Linked DNA regions of Caenorhabditis elegans. The protein of the gene in region 1 interacts with the protein of each later gene in a biochemical or structural test. Each region holds a gene or a part of one and is shown on either strand. Other genes may lie near its edges.

Region 1 (7,178 bases):
AGGATTTCTTTGAATTAAGTTTTTGTTCTGTACTCTGATTTCTCCATTCTTCCTTCCATTTCTTCTATTCCAAACTTTCTTCCACAAAGCCCCACACACACAACTTTTCAATTAAAGGTTTCGTGCTCTTTGGCAATTTTCACATTTCCGGTGCCATCTTGTCCTTGCTTTTCGGACCCTTTGGAATTTTAAGTCAAAAGTGAGAAAAACGAACCAAAAATGAAAAATAAACGCCCACATTTAGACAATGGAGATTTCGTTTTCCACCCACCAGTTTGGAAAAACTTTTGAGTTTCGATTCTAGCTTTGAAATCTTATGAAACATTGTTGGAAGAAAATTGCAAAAACGATGTGCAGATTTCATTAGCACATTTTACTCCTAGTGACCGTGACCAGTTGTGGTTTGATTTTTATAATTCCTGTTTTGTTTTCCGTAATTCGGAAAATTGAATTTCCCTATTTTATTAGACAATAATAAATTTAATCAGTTCTTTTCTCAACATTAGTTTCAACTTCCTTCTAAAAATCATTCAATGCTTCCGAAGACAAATTTAGAAAACGATATATAAAAAGACGCTTCACTTTTATAGATGCATTATCATTTTTCAATTCGTCTTTTAATGCTAGCATATACTTTTCATTTTTATTGGAAAGTTGCACGACTTAAGAATTTGCTCGCTAAAAATCATTAGAACAAAATTCTAGACGATCTGCGGCGATTAGTCTAGAAATGGTTTTTGTTCAGACGTTATTATTTTGAATAATATTTTTTTGAAGAAGTCTTTGAATTTTTAATTTTCAATAGATCATAAAAGGCTTTTGGTTTTGAAAAAAGTTATAACCAAATTGTTTTGAATAAAAACACCGATTTTTGGAGTTTTTGAATTTTTTTCAACGAAAAAAATTCACAAAAAAAAAAAAAGAAAACGTATGTTTTGTTTCTAAATTTCAAACTTACATTAAATAAAACTCACAATCAGTCGGCAACGTATGAAAAATTTCAAAATCTGCAGAAAATGCATTTTACTAAAAATTGACTTCTGCGTTTTGATCTCAGAATGAAAAAATTCGGAAGGTATGCCAACAAAACTTTACTATTTGGGAATTAATTCACAATAGCGTATTCCAATTTTTCAAACATAATTTTGCAAGAACCCTTGAAAGTTTCCATAAAATCCTTATCATCCTTACTAAACAAGATAAACACAGTTTTATGATCTTTGGCATGTTTGGCTCTTCCCACGAGACAAAATTGTTTCTTTAATTGGATCTAACTCGAAAAAGAAAACAGGGAACCATCATTATCAAATTGCATTCTCTGAAAAAAAACAGATATCCGGATCTTCGGATCAAAAGTCTAATTATAGATGATGTTCTTCTATTTAAATTCAAATTTGTCCTTTTCCTTCTCCCACTTTACACCTTAACCGACTCCTCCTCATTCTGCTTTTTCCTCTTCTTTTTTTGATGTAGTCGTCAGTTTCATATCGAAATTAGAAATAGGTGAGAAAAAAGAGGATCCTCTTCTTCCATTTTTTCAGCATTTTCCAGAACGCCTAATTACTTTTCATTGGTGTTCTTTGATGATATACTGAAAAACGAATGAAGAAAGTGGAAAATGAAGTGGAAAACAAGGAAAATGAAGACATGAAAATTCCTATCAATTCTCGTGTTCTCTTTTTTCTTATGTATTTGTTGCCCCCCGGGCTAGTGTCTAGACCCAATAATTTGCAGATCTTCTCCTCCTTCACTCTCTCATCACTTTCAGTCCCGCTTTTGTGCTTTTTTGAGTCTTGTTTGCTCTTTTTATGGGCTCTTCAAAGAACACTAAAGTGCCAATACAATCGTGTTCTTCTCATATGGCTTCTTTTTCCAAAAAGTTACATTTTCAGAGAAATGATGGATTCGATGGACTTTCACAGAATAATGGCTTTCGTGTATTTACCGACTATTCTGATTGGGCTTCTTGGTAATTTACTATCACTTTACGCATACAGTCGTAAAAATAGAAAATCCATGGTAAGTTCTAGTTTTAAAGCAAAAGTATATCTTGAAATTCAAATGACTTTAAGATGTCGGTTTAGGGAAAATTTATTTATGAGGTTTCCAGAAATTCATTAACAAAAATTAAGTGCATTCAGAAAGTTCCAGGTCTCTAGTATACAATTCTGTCGATTGGTTCATTTCCCCGTAAAAAAAACATTGGAACTAGGTAAATCTGAAATTGTTCAGTGCATTTTTTACTTCTTTTCTATTTTTTTCTGAATGTCAGAAAACATCTCGAAAATGTTTTGGAAGACGAATTTTCTTCGAAATCCCTAAACATTTTTTACCTAACTCAATCAATAAAATTTAGGATTGTTCTTCCGAAATTGTTTTTTTTCTGCAAAACACCTCAAGCGATTCACAGGTTCGCCAAAATCCTAAAATCGATTTGAGGATTGAAAAACAACTTTTCTAACAAAGCTATTTTACTATGAAAAAAATTGCCTGAAATTTTTCAGATCGACTTTTTTCTAGTTCAAACTGGCCATCTAAAGATTTAGTAAGAACATATGGTTAAAAAAAACATGTTCCAAGTTGAAATCCCAAGACTAAGAATCATGTTTCCTGTAAAATTGTTATTTTTGCAGGTCGGTTTCCTGCTGTACTCACTGTCCGTCTCTGACATCTTCCTGCTAGTCTTCGCTCTTCCACTTTTCAGCATCATGTATCTACCCATTTGGTAAGGTTTTGTGGGTGTGAAATTGGAAAGTGTTACGCATACCCACACACATCTCATTTGCACACAAGATGAGCGAAAGCACGTCAGGAAGGAAAATAAGATATTGCGCGCTTTTCTTTCACAAATGCGAGAAAAAGTGTTAAGGTTATTGCAGAAGGAAGTGGGAGGAAATTATGATGTGTTCAGGATGACCTATGGAGTTACATGAAATTAAAAAACATATTATTCTAATCACATTATTTAATTTCAGGACTGACGAGCAGAGAAGTTTCGTCGTCGCGTACACTGCTAAATATGTATATCCGTTGTGTATGATGGCAAAAACATGCAGTCTTTATATTATGGTATTGATTACTATTGAGCGATGGATTGCTGTTTGTCGACCACTTGAGGTACTACTTAACTTTTAAAATATCCGGGTAAAATGGACCTTACCAAATTTTTCTGAAAACAGGGAAATAGATTTTTGTCGCCAGGGGTTACTTTTTGAAATTACATGGAAAATGTGGTGACCTGAATCTATTTCGAATAATTTCACGAAAAATTAATGAATTGTTAAACGAAGGATAAATAATTGTATGGTTCCAAAAAAAATCAATAAAAAATTATCCGAAAAAACTGCAGCTTAAAATTCCAGCTTTCTCTATTTATTTTTTAATTTTCCAGGTCCAAATCTGGTGTCGATACACCACATCATCATACTCCATCGCCGCCATCATCACTTTCGCAGTGGTTCTGAATTTTGCTCGATTCTTTGAATTTGAAATTGAATACATCGATGGTTTGGCATTCTTCAGACGGGATCTTCTGGATTCTGAGAAACATTGGTGGTACTTCATGTTTTATTTCATCATCATTTCTATTATATTCGATTATCTCGTTCCATTTGTGATCATGTTTGTTGCGAATATGTTGATTATCAGCGAGCTGAGAAGAACGAAAAAGGAAAGAAGTTTGATGACAATTCAACAACAAAAAGAGCAAAATACGACAGTAATGCTTCTGGTTATCACAATTTTCTTTGGATTCTGCCACTTCTTCTCAATGGCCCTAAAGCTTGCGGAGAGTTTTGTTGGAAAGTTTCTAACAATTCAGGTAGCTAAAATCTGTTTAATTTTTATTTGAGCTGTACAATTTCAGAATATTTATCTAGAAATGCTTGGAGAAATTTTTAACTACCTCATTATCATTCACACCGCCTCAACATTTTTCATCTATTACATGTTTTCGGAGAAGTTCCGGCAAATAATCAAAGGAATTTGGAAGTGAGTTTTTACGAATTTTAAATTCATACAACCCTAACTTCATATAGCCCTAAAAACAATGTATTTTGGTTGAAAATGATGTAAAAAACTTGAAGTTTATTTAAAAATTAATCAGGCCCGATCAATACCGACACGGTAGCCTTCCTGATGGAACTCTGAACATTACTGACAGGTATCAAAAAATTTTGTGATGGTATTGCTTTTTGAAACTGCCCAGCTTCTTGATATGCCTCTTGCTAATGTCTAAAAATTATATTTCAAATGTTTTTATTGAAAAATCAATTAAAAATGTATTAAATTTAAAATTGGTACAATTTTAATGTAAGTCAGCACGATTGTATACGTTTTTTGGCAGACATTAGCTTTTGGAATGTTGAAATTAAATGCCTCTCGTAAATATTCCCTAATAATATTGCATGTGGTTGCTTAAATTTTAAACAATTCCGGTAAAAAGTAAACTTTTATAAGAGCCTGTAACTGTCTAAACATGCCTTCTTGCGGCTTATTGCTTGTTTTAATTTTAATGATTAAAATGTTGGGCAATTTTCTACTCAGGCAACTCAAATCTAATATGAAAATATTAAATAGCAATATTTTTGTAGTAAAAACGAGAAATAGTGCGTCCATATACGATTACTAAAAATTTCGAATAGATTTCAATTTTGTCTCAAAAGATTACAATTTGATCTCAAAATATTGCGAAAGTGTGAAAATTTCTAGGAAGACTTCCGTTTTATCTCAAAATATTACTAATTTGTCTCAAAAGACTGCGAACTAGTCTCCGAAGATTGAGATTTCATCTCCGAAGATTGAGATTTCGTCTCAGAATATTGCGATTTTGTCTCAAAATATTGCGAATTTGTCTCTAAATATTAAAAATGCATTCATCGACTATTCTAGAACTGTTTTGTGATAACTCGAAGAACTTTTGTTGCCATTGAGGGGAGTTGAACTTGTCCGTCGCTTGTCGTTGAGTCTATGAACCATTATCTTACCTGTTGAGCCATCCTGTACGTGTCGCATCTAGATATAGTTATTGCTTAAGTAAATAGTTGATGGGCGCACGTCCTTTTCGTTACCTTTGATGGGAAATCAGTGACTTTTCGCAAATTTTCTAAGTGTCAGAGCGAAATTGGATAACTTTCTTTGAAAGCGAATGTTGAAAAACGATTTATTTGTTATGCTTTTAAAAATGTTAGAATTGCAATTTTTCCGAATTTTTGTCAAAGAGAGAATAACATTTTATTTTTTCAATATTTATTTTCACTAACAATTTGATTAAAATGATGAGTATACTGGGAACATGCTTGCTGTTGACAATATTTTATGATTTCAATTGAAATCAGAAAATCTCAAACGCATCACGCGTGAATGAATAGTTGTAAGTCTACTTTAATGTATTTGACCAATCTTCGTGATTGTTTGACTGAATTTATAATATGACCGGCCAATTATCTAGAAAAAATTACATGAGTGGACAGATTTGTGAATTCTGTGGCTTTCTCTGCAAAAACTCCTTCTACAATATGCAACGAAAAATCAAATATCCGTTAACAGTGAGATACTCCATTATATAGATTTTCATGTAGCTGTTTTTTTACTTTGAAAAGTCTTTTATCATTTGGAAGAAAAGAGAATTTAGAACGGAACAGTAATCATAATTGTTGTATATATATATCACGATCATGTGAAGCCGATGGAAATTTGGAAATGGTGTTTTGTAATCTTTATGGACTGCAAAAAGATTGCAAATTAATCTTAGAATATTACACATTTTTTTGTAATATTTTTAGATTTCAGAAAGATTGCGAACCAATCTCAAAAGATTGCTATGTCATCTCAAAATATTACGAATTTTTCGTAATATTTTCAGATTCAGAAATATTGCGAATCAACCTCAAAATATTGCGAAATATTCTCAAAAGATTGCTCAATCTAAAAAGATTTCGAATAAGTCTCGGAATATTGCGATTTTATCTTGAAATATCACCCAACTACAAAAATGTTGCTATTTAATATTTTCATATTAGATTTGAGTTGCCTGAGTAAGCTAGAACAACATTCTGGAACGACGAAAAACTCACAAGTAACTTTGCAAAGTTTATTTTAAATTAAAAAAAAAACGTCCGCATGCAGAGAATGAAAAACATGCTCTTGAAATTCTCGTAAACCAATAAAATCAAAAAAATTTCAGTAAAAAGCGAAAGATCAACCGGCACGGAAGCAGCACAAAAATCATGTACCATACAGAAGCCACAATCATCCATAAGCCAGCATCTTTGAAGACTCGATATTCAAGAATTTCTTCCGAATAACTCTAAAATTTAAAACAAAAAAATATCCAAACATTACGTGTCATTCAGATCATACCAAACTTCAATACGATCTTCGGCTTTTCTTGTTGTATTTTTTTGTTCATTAGAGAACTCAAACCCCCCAAGGTATTTTGCATGTATTACGAGGAGACAGCGGGTGTATGATGTTTTACAAAAATCAATAAAAATTTTTGAAAAGTGTGAATTTTGTATGCAATTAAAAAAAAAACAGTAATTTGATGGAGTTGTTCTGGATATATATGTAGGTACAAAAAAGTCAGGATGCCTATCAGAGAAGTGTTACATAGGCTGAAGGCGACCTACGCTTACCTTTCGGTAGAGAACATTTTTATTAGTGCCGTATTATATTTATGAATGCTTTAGGGGCATCTGTTATTTTCAAGTCTGAAACTATACTTTTTAAAATGATTTCTCAGATAACAGAAGTTTCAAAAGCTGCATCGCAACGCTTTCGGAACTTGTAACTTCAATCCATTTTGGGACAATTTTTATATGAAAGTGTCTAGAAATTCCTAATAAATTTTATTTGTTTTTAGTTCCAAACGTTTAGTTTTCTGTTAGTAATATCCAATTTTCCCTCGATCTCTCTAGTTGCATAAGTATTGAATATCTCAAAAATGTTACAACAGTAATCACACTCCAATTAAATATTGATTTAGGTAATAAACCAATAAATAAACAAAAATAAATCAAGTGTTTTTGCATCGTCATGCTAAAAAGACCCCAGGAACCGTGGGAGGTCTGGATATAAAAAAGTAAAAAGAGGTGAAAACCAGTTCCTTCATTTTTCTGTTACCTCACTTTCCACAAAATTACTCTCGGTGGAGGGACACTTGCATCCTACCTCATCAC
Region 2 (4,256 bases), on another chromosome or scaffold:
TAATTTGTGTTCTTACGGACTATAATTTATTTGATATAAAACATCATTATTTCACTTGTTGCAGTCAAAATGTTCAGACTTGCAACCGCTTTTTTCTTTAACCCCATTTAAATAGGTCATTTTGAAACTGAAATTTTAGATATCAATGTAACAATTTTCAGAAAATCATGAAAATGAGAAAATAACACTGAATCTCAATTTTTTCTAACTAGCCGTTTATTAATTAAAACTGTAGTAGCATTTTAGTCGGCATTTTGTGTCAAAACAAATTCATTCTTGTATTTTTTTTTAATGCAGTCAATATCTTAGTAAATTGCCAAATATACGAAACCTATGGAGCGTTTCTGAGGAATTCAGAACACTAGAACACTGTTCAATCCTTGCTACATTTAAATACAGGGTGGGCCAAAAGTATGGTAACACGTTTGCAGCTCTATAACTTTACTAGTGGAGAGAGTTATTACATCAATTTGTACAAGGTTTGTTCTCCATAAAATACTGACCAGATGAACGTTTTGAATTTTCAAAATATTCCCATCCGCATCGCTGCAGGCCTTCAGAACTTTTGAGATCACGACCTTTATGGCACGCAAGTCGGCATTCTGCGGGATTTCTACATTTTTCTCAAGGAATCCATCAAGTGTCTTACAAGTTTTTATAGTTCAAAGAATGCTCTTGGTCTAGAGATTTTTTAAAAACAAAAATCCAAATAATTTCTATCACGGTATTTCTGTCATGGACTGCGGCAGTAGGTTAAGTCTTGAATGGCATAGTCGCCAGAAAGATGGATGTGAGCGGCGAGTAGCAGTATGCAGAAAAATTCATTTTAGTATTTTTCGAGACGTTTTGACCTGACTTTCCAGAATTTTTTTAGAAAATTGAGCTCGAATGATTTTGTGGGTCGTTACGCCTTGCGAAACCAAAAAAACTGAGTAAATTTCGCAAAGTTGAATTCATGAAAAATTCAAAGGTTCTGGCGCCAGTGTCGACACAGAAAATTTTTGTATGCTACAAAAACAATCAAAAACGCTTCTTCACTTCTTTAACTTTAAATTTAACATAAAAATCATACATCTGAAAATTATTGGCGTGCGTGGGAGGTGTGTTTGTGTGGGAAGTGCCGCGTGCCAAATTACCGTTTTTTCGAAAGGGTTCGCCAAATTTTCGAGGTGATAAAGATCGCACCTTATTGGGAAACATTACAAATTTTGAGTCAAATTGAAGGAAATTTATTCAGCTATCAGTGTTTGATAGAAGAATGTGCGTATGACGTGGCAGTCGCGCGAAAAGCTCATGTAAAAGAACGCTTCATGTGTTACCATACTTTTGGCCCACCCTGTATAAATCGTGAAAACATAATTAGATTATAAAAGTAAAAGTCGCCCGGTTTCGATTATGGTTGGCAAAATCTGAGTAATCGCTACTTTTTTTTGATTGCAATTAAAAATAAATTCTGACACCTTTTAAAAACATGTACCATGATATTTTTTAAACGATTTCGCGACTTGGACTACATCTTTTGAACTCCAATATTATCAGTTCCGAAGTGTGATGTTGATGTTAACATAATGACATTTACAACGTATTCTGATTTCTTTGAATATCTTCTCGAACTCTCGAGACACATCTGTTCAGATTCCAGTTGACTTGTCACATTTACGCATTTCCCTCCTCCATTCTTTTATTTTGTTTCTATTTCTTGCGTAAATCTGATTAAAATCGAGAAGTAGGCGCGCATTTTCTGTCTTCACCTTTTGACTATAAAAGTACTCTACAAATATTGAACAACACTTTTTAAAAGTTGTAGTAGTTATTGGCCATCAGGAATTAGGAGGTCAGTTGCAAAATCATGCATCTTTTAGGATTAAAAGCTTAAATCTTGCTCATTCATTTCCTGTCTTATTTTGAAGTTTTTCTCTCTTCCAACGCCTCCCACTGTGACTACTATCATCTATTATTATCTTGTAGGGATTCCTCAATTTCCAGACACCCTCAAACTCGGCCCCGTTCCGATTCGAACATGATGACGTCACTGCTCACTATCTCAATGTTCGTCGTCGCCATTCAGGCCTTTGATTCGTCGGAAATTCGAATGCTCGATGAACAATGTGAGTGTTTGTTGTTTTTATATTGTTTTAGAACTTTTTAGAACAAGCTTATACTCATTGAGAACTGGATTGAAATGTTATATGTTTTTTAAAGTATTTCAAGTACAAATTACTTTTGAACATACTTTGATCAAAACTATAGTTAAAAAAAACTTGGCTATCTTCATTTCGTATTCTTGAAGTTTGTAGTACACAGAAAAAAATGTCTTTAATCCAGATGGATCCATTTCTCCTGACTTAAAAATTAGAGTCTGTAGAATTCTCAGAAGTCATTAGGACTTGATGAAATCTGAATCGTAAACAAATGTTTTTTAAAGCTATCTAATTTATTTTCTAAATAAAAAACATAAATATCTGAACTCTGAACGAAATTCAATATCCGAAAACAAATGTCTATTTCAGATGACACGAAGAATCCCTTCTTTCAATTTCTCGAAAACTCAAAACGAAGTGATCGACCGACTCGTGCAATGGATTCTCCACTGATCCGTTTTGGCAAAAGAGCTGCTGATGGAGCACCACTCATCAGATTTGGTCGTGCTCCAGAAGCATCTCCGTTCATTCGTTTTGGAAAGAGAGCTGCCGATGGGGCTCCTTTGATCAGGTAACTTTCAACCCTTCTTAAAAATTATACTCCCACAGCTGCTTCCGAATAGAAGAAACAGTTTTAACTTCTATAACGGCAAATTGCATAATCCCATTTAACTGTCAGTCTTTTCAATATTTCAAAAAAATTAAGATTGCCTAAAATTTGTCTACGCCACTTTTGAAATTCAAGATATAAAAATTCAATATTTTTCCTATTCCTGATTATTGAATTGAAGTGCAACAGTTTTGTTTTTAACTCCTCAAAGTTACCGTTTCAATAGCAATCCAAAATACATAACCTGCATTAGAAAACCATCGTGATATCTGTACTTCATTTCTAGATTTGGCCGTGCTCCAGAAGCTTCTCCATTCATCAGATTTGGCAAAAGAGCATCTCCATCAGCTCCATTGATCCGTTTCGGACGTTCTCCATCAGCCGTACCACTCATCCGTTTTGGCCGATCTGCAGCTGCTCCACTTATTCGCTTCGGACGTGCTTCATCAGCTCCTCTCATTCGTTTTGGCAGAAAATAAATTCACTTTTTGATCTTTCTTTGTGTGTGTGTGTGTTTGTGGTTCATTTTGGATCTCATTTAGTCGACGATTGTGTGTCTACACCTATTTCCTTCCTTCACTGTCTTTTCCCCAAACACTCTTCTTCCCCCAACCAATGTTCATTTTCATTTTGGCTCTACTCATGCATTTCTTCATCTTCTTCTTCGACGTCTTGAATTCACAAAAATGAATTGTTCTATCCGGTTGTTAATACTTTCAAGCAAAATTATTTTATTTGAAAATCAAACTTAGATAAAGACGAAAAAATAAAAATACGTTGAAGACAGGTAAAAAAAAACATTGAAATACCGGTTTTGAAAACGACTAAACAGGTTTTGTGACGAGAAAAGGGAAAACAATCACAGGGTTATAAATATGGGTTTTGGAAAAAGAAACAAATAAAAATCTATCCAATAAATCTATTTTCAGTAGGTCTAACGAGGCTGAAATTGTTCCATGAAAGCCCGAGATTCTTCATTTTGACTGATGATCTCTCGCATAAGGGTCATCATCTGAAATTTAAAGCATTTTAAAAAGATTTTAAGATTAGAAGTAGTCAAATAGTTTACCTGCAACAACTGATCCTTCATTTGTTTAACTTCCGATTGATCTGTGTCTAATTCTGAATCTTGTAACGACAATGCCTGCATTCTTGGGAACCAGTCCAAATTCCGATCTTTAACACATTGTGCCACGTAGCTTTCGGGTCCTGTGAACTCAGTTTCATCCTTAATTTGGAGCATCACAATGTAATACAAATAATGCCAAATATTGTGCTCCGTTTCTCGATGTGTTTCAAAAGTCACTGATCGGTTGTCAAAACGAGATCTATCTAATCCACAAATGAAACAGTTGTTTTTCAAAATTTGTTCTTTCTCGTTTTTCTCGGCTCTCAAATCTCCGAATGTGTCGATGATGACTCCGAAAATCAAATTGAGAACAATAACGATAAGAACAACAAAGAAAGTCATATCATAAGCAACTCTCCATATGAACATATCTTCC

The links.
Region 2: the proteins of frpr-4 (region 1) and flp-13 interact in a test that uses a peptide from one of them, tested with the Caenorhabditis elegans proteins (one large-scale study listed by BioGRID).

Annotation. Positions count from the first base shown.
Region 1 is NC_003280.10:5,250,248-5,257,425, reverse strand, and holds frpr-4 (G-protein coupled receptors family 1 profile domain-containing protein), read left to right. Parts: upstream 1-1,896; coding exon 1,897-2,019; intron 2,020-2,633; coding exon 2,634-2,725; intron 2,726-2,975; coding exon 2,976-3,117; intron 3,118-3,391; coding exon 3,392-3,820; intron 3,821-3,865; coding exon 3,866-3,990; intron 3,991-4,105; coding exon 4,106-4,162; coding exon of another isoform or gene 4,163-4,181; intron 4,182-6,184; coding exon 6,185-6,305; 3' UTR 6,306-6,506; downstream 6,507-7,178.
Region 2 is NC_003282.8:7,696,133-7,700,388, reverse strand, and holds flp-13 (SPSAVPLIRF-amide), read left to right. Parts: upstream 1-1,968; 5' UTR 1,969-2,020; coding exon 2,021-2,108; intron 2,109-2,510; coding exon 2,511-2,712; intron 2,713-3,037; coding exon 3,038-3,230; 3' UTR 3,231-3,460; downstream 3,461-4,256. Other genes in the region: Inositol 1,4,5-trisphosphate receptor itr-1, read right to left, coding at 3,686-3,763, 3,821-4,256. UniProt on the Caenorhabditis elegans protein: Probable FMRFamide-like neuropeptides. Binds to neuronal receptors such as dmsr-1 to promote sleep in response to cellular stress also known as stress-induced sleep (SIS).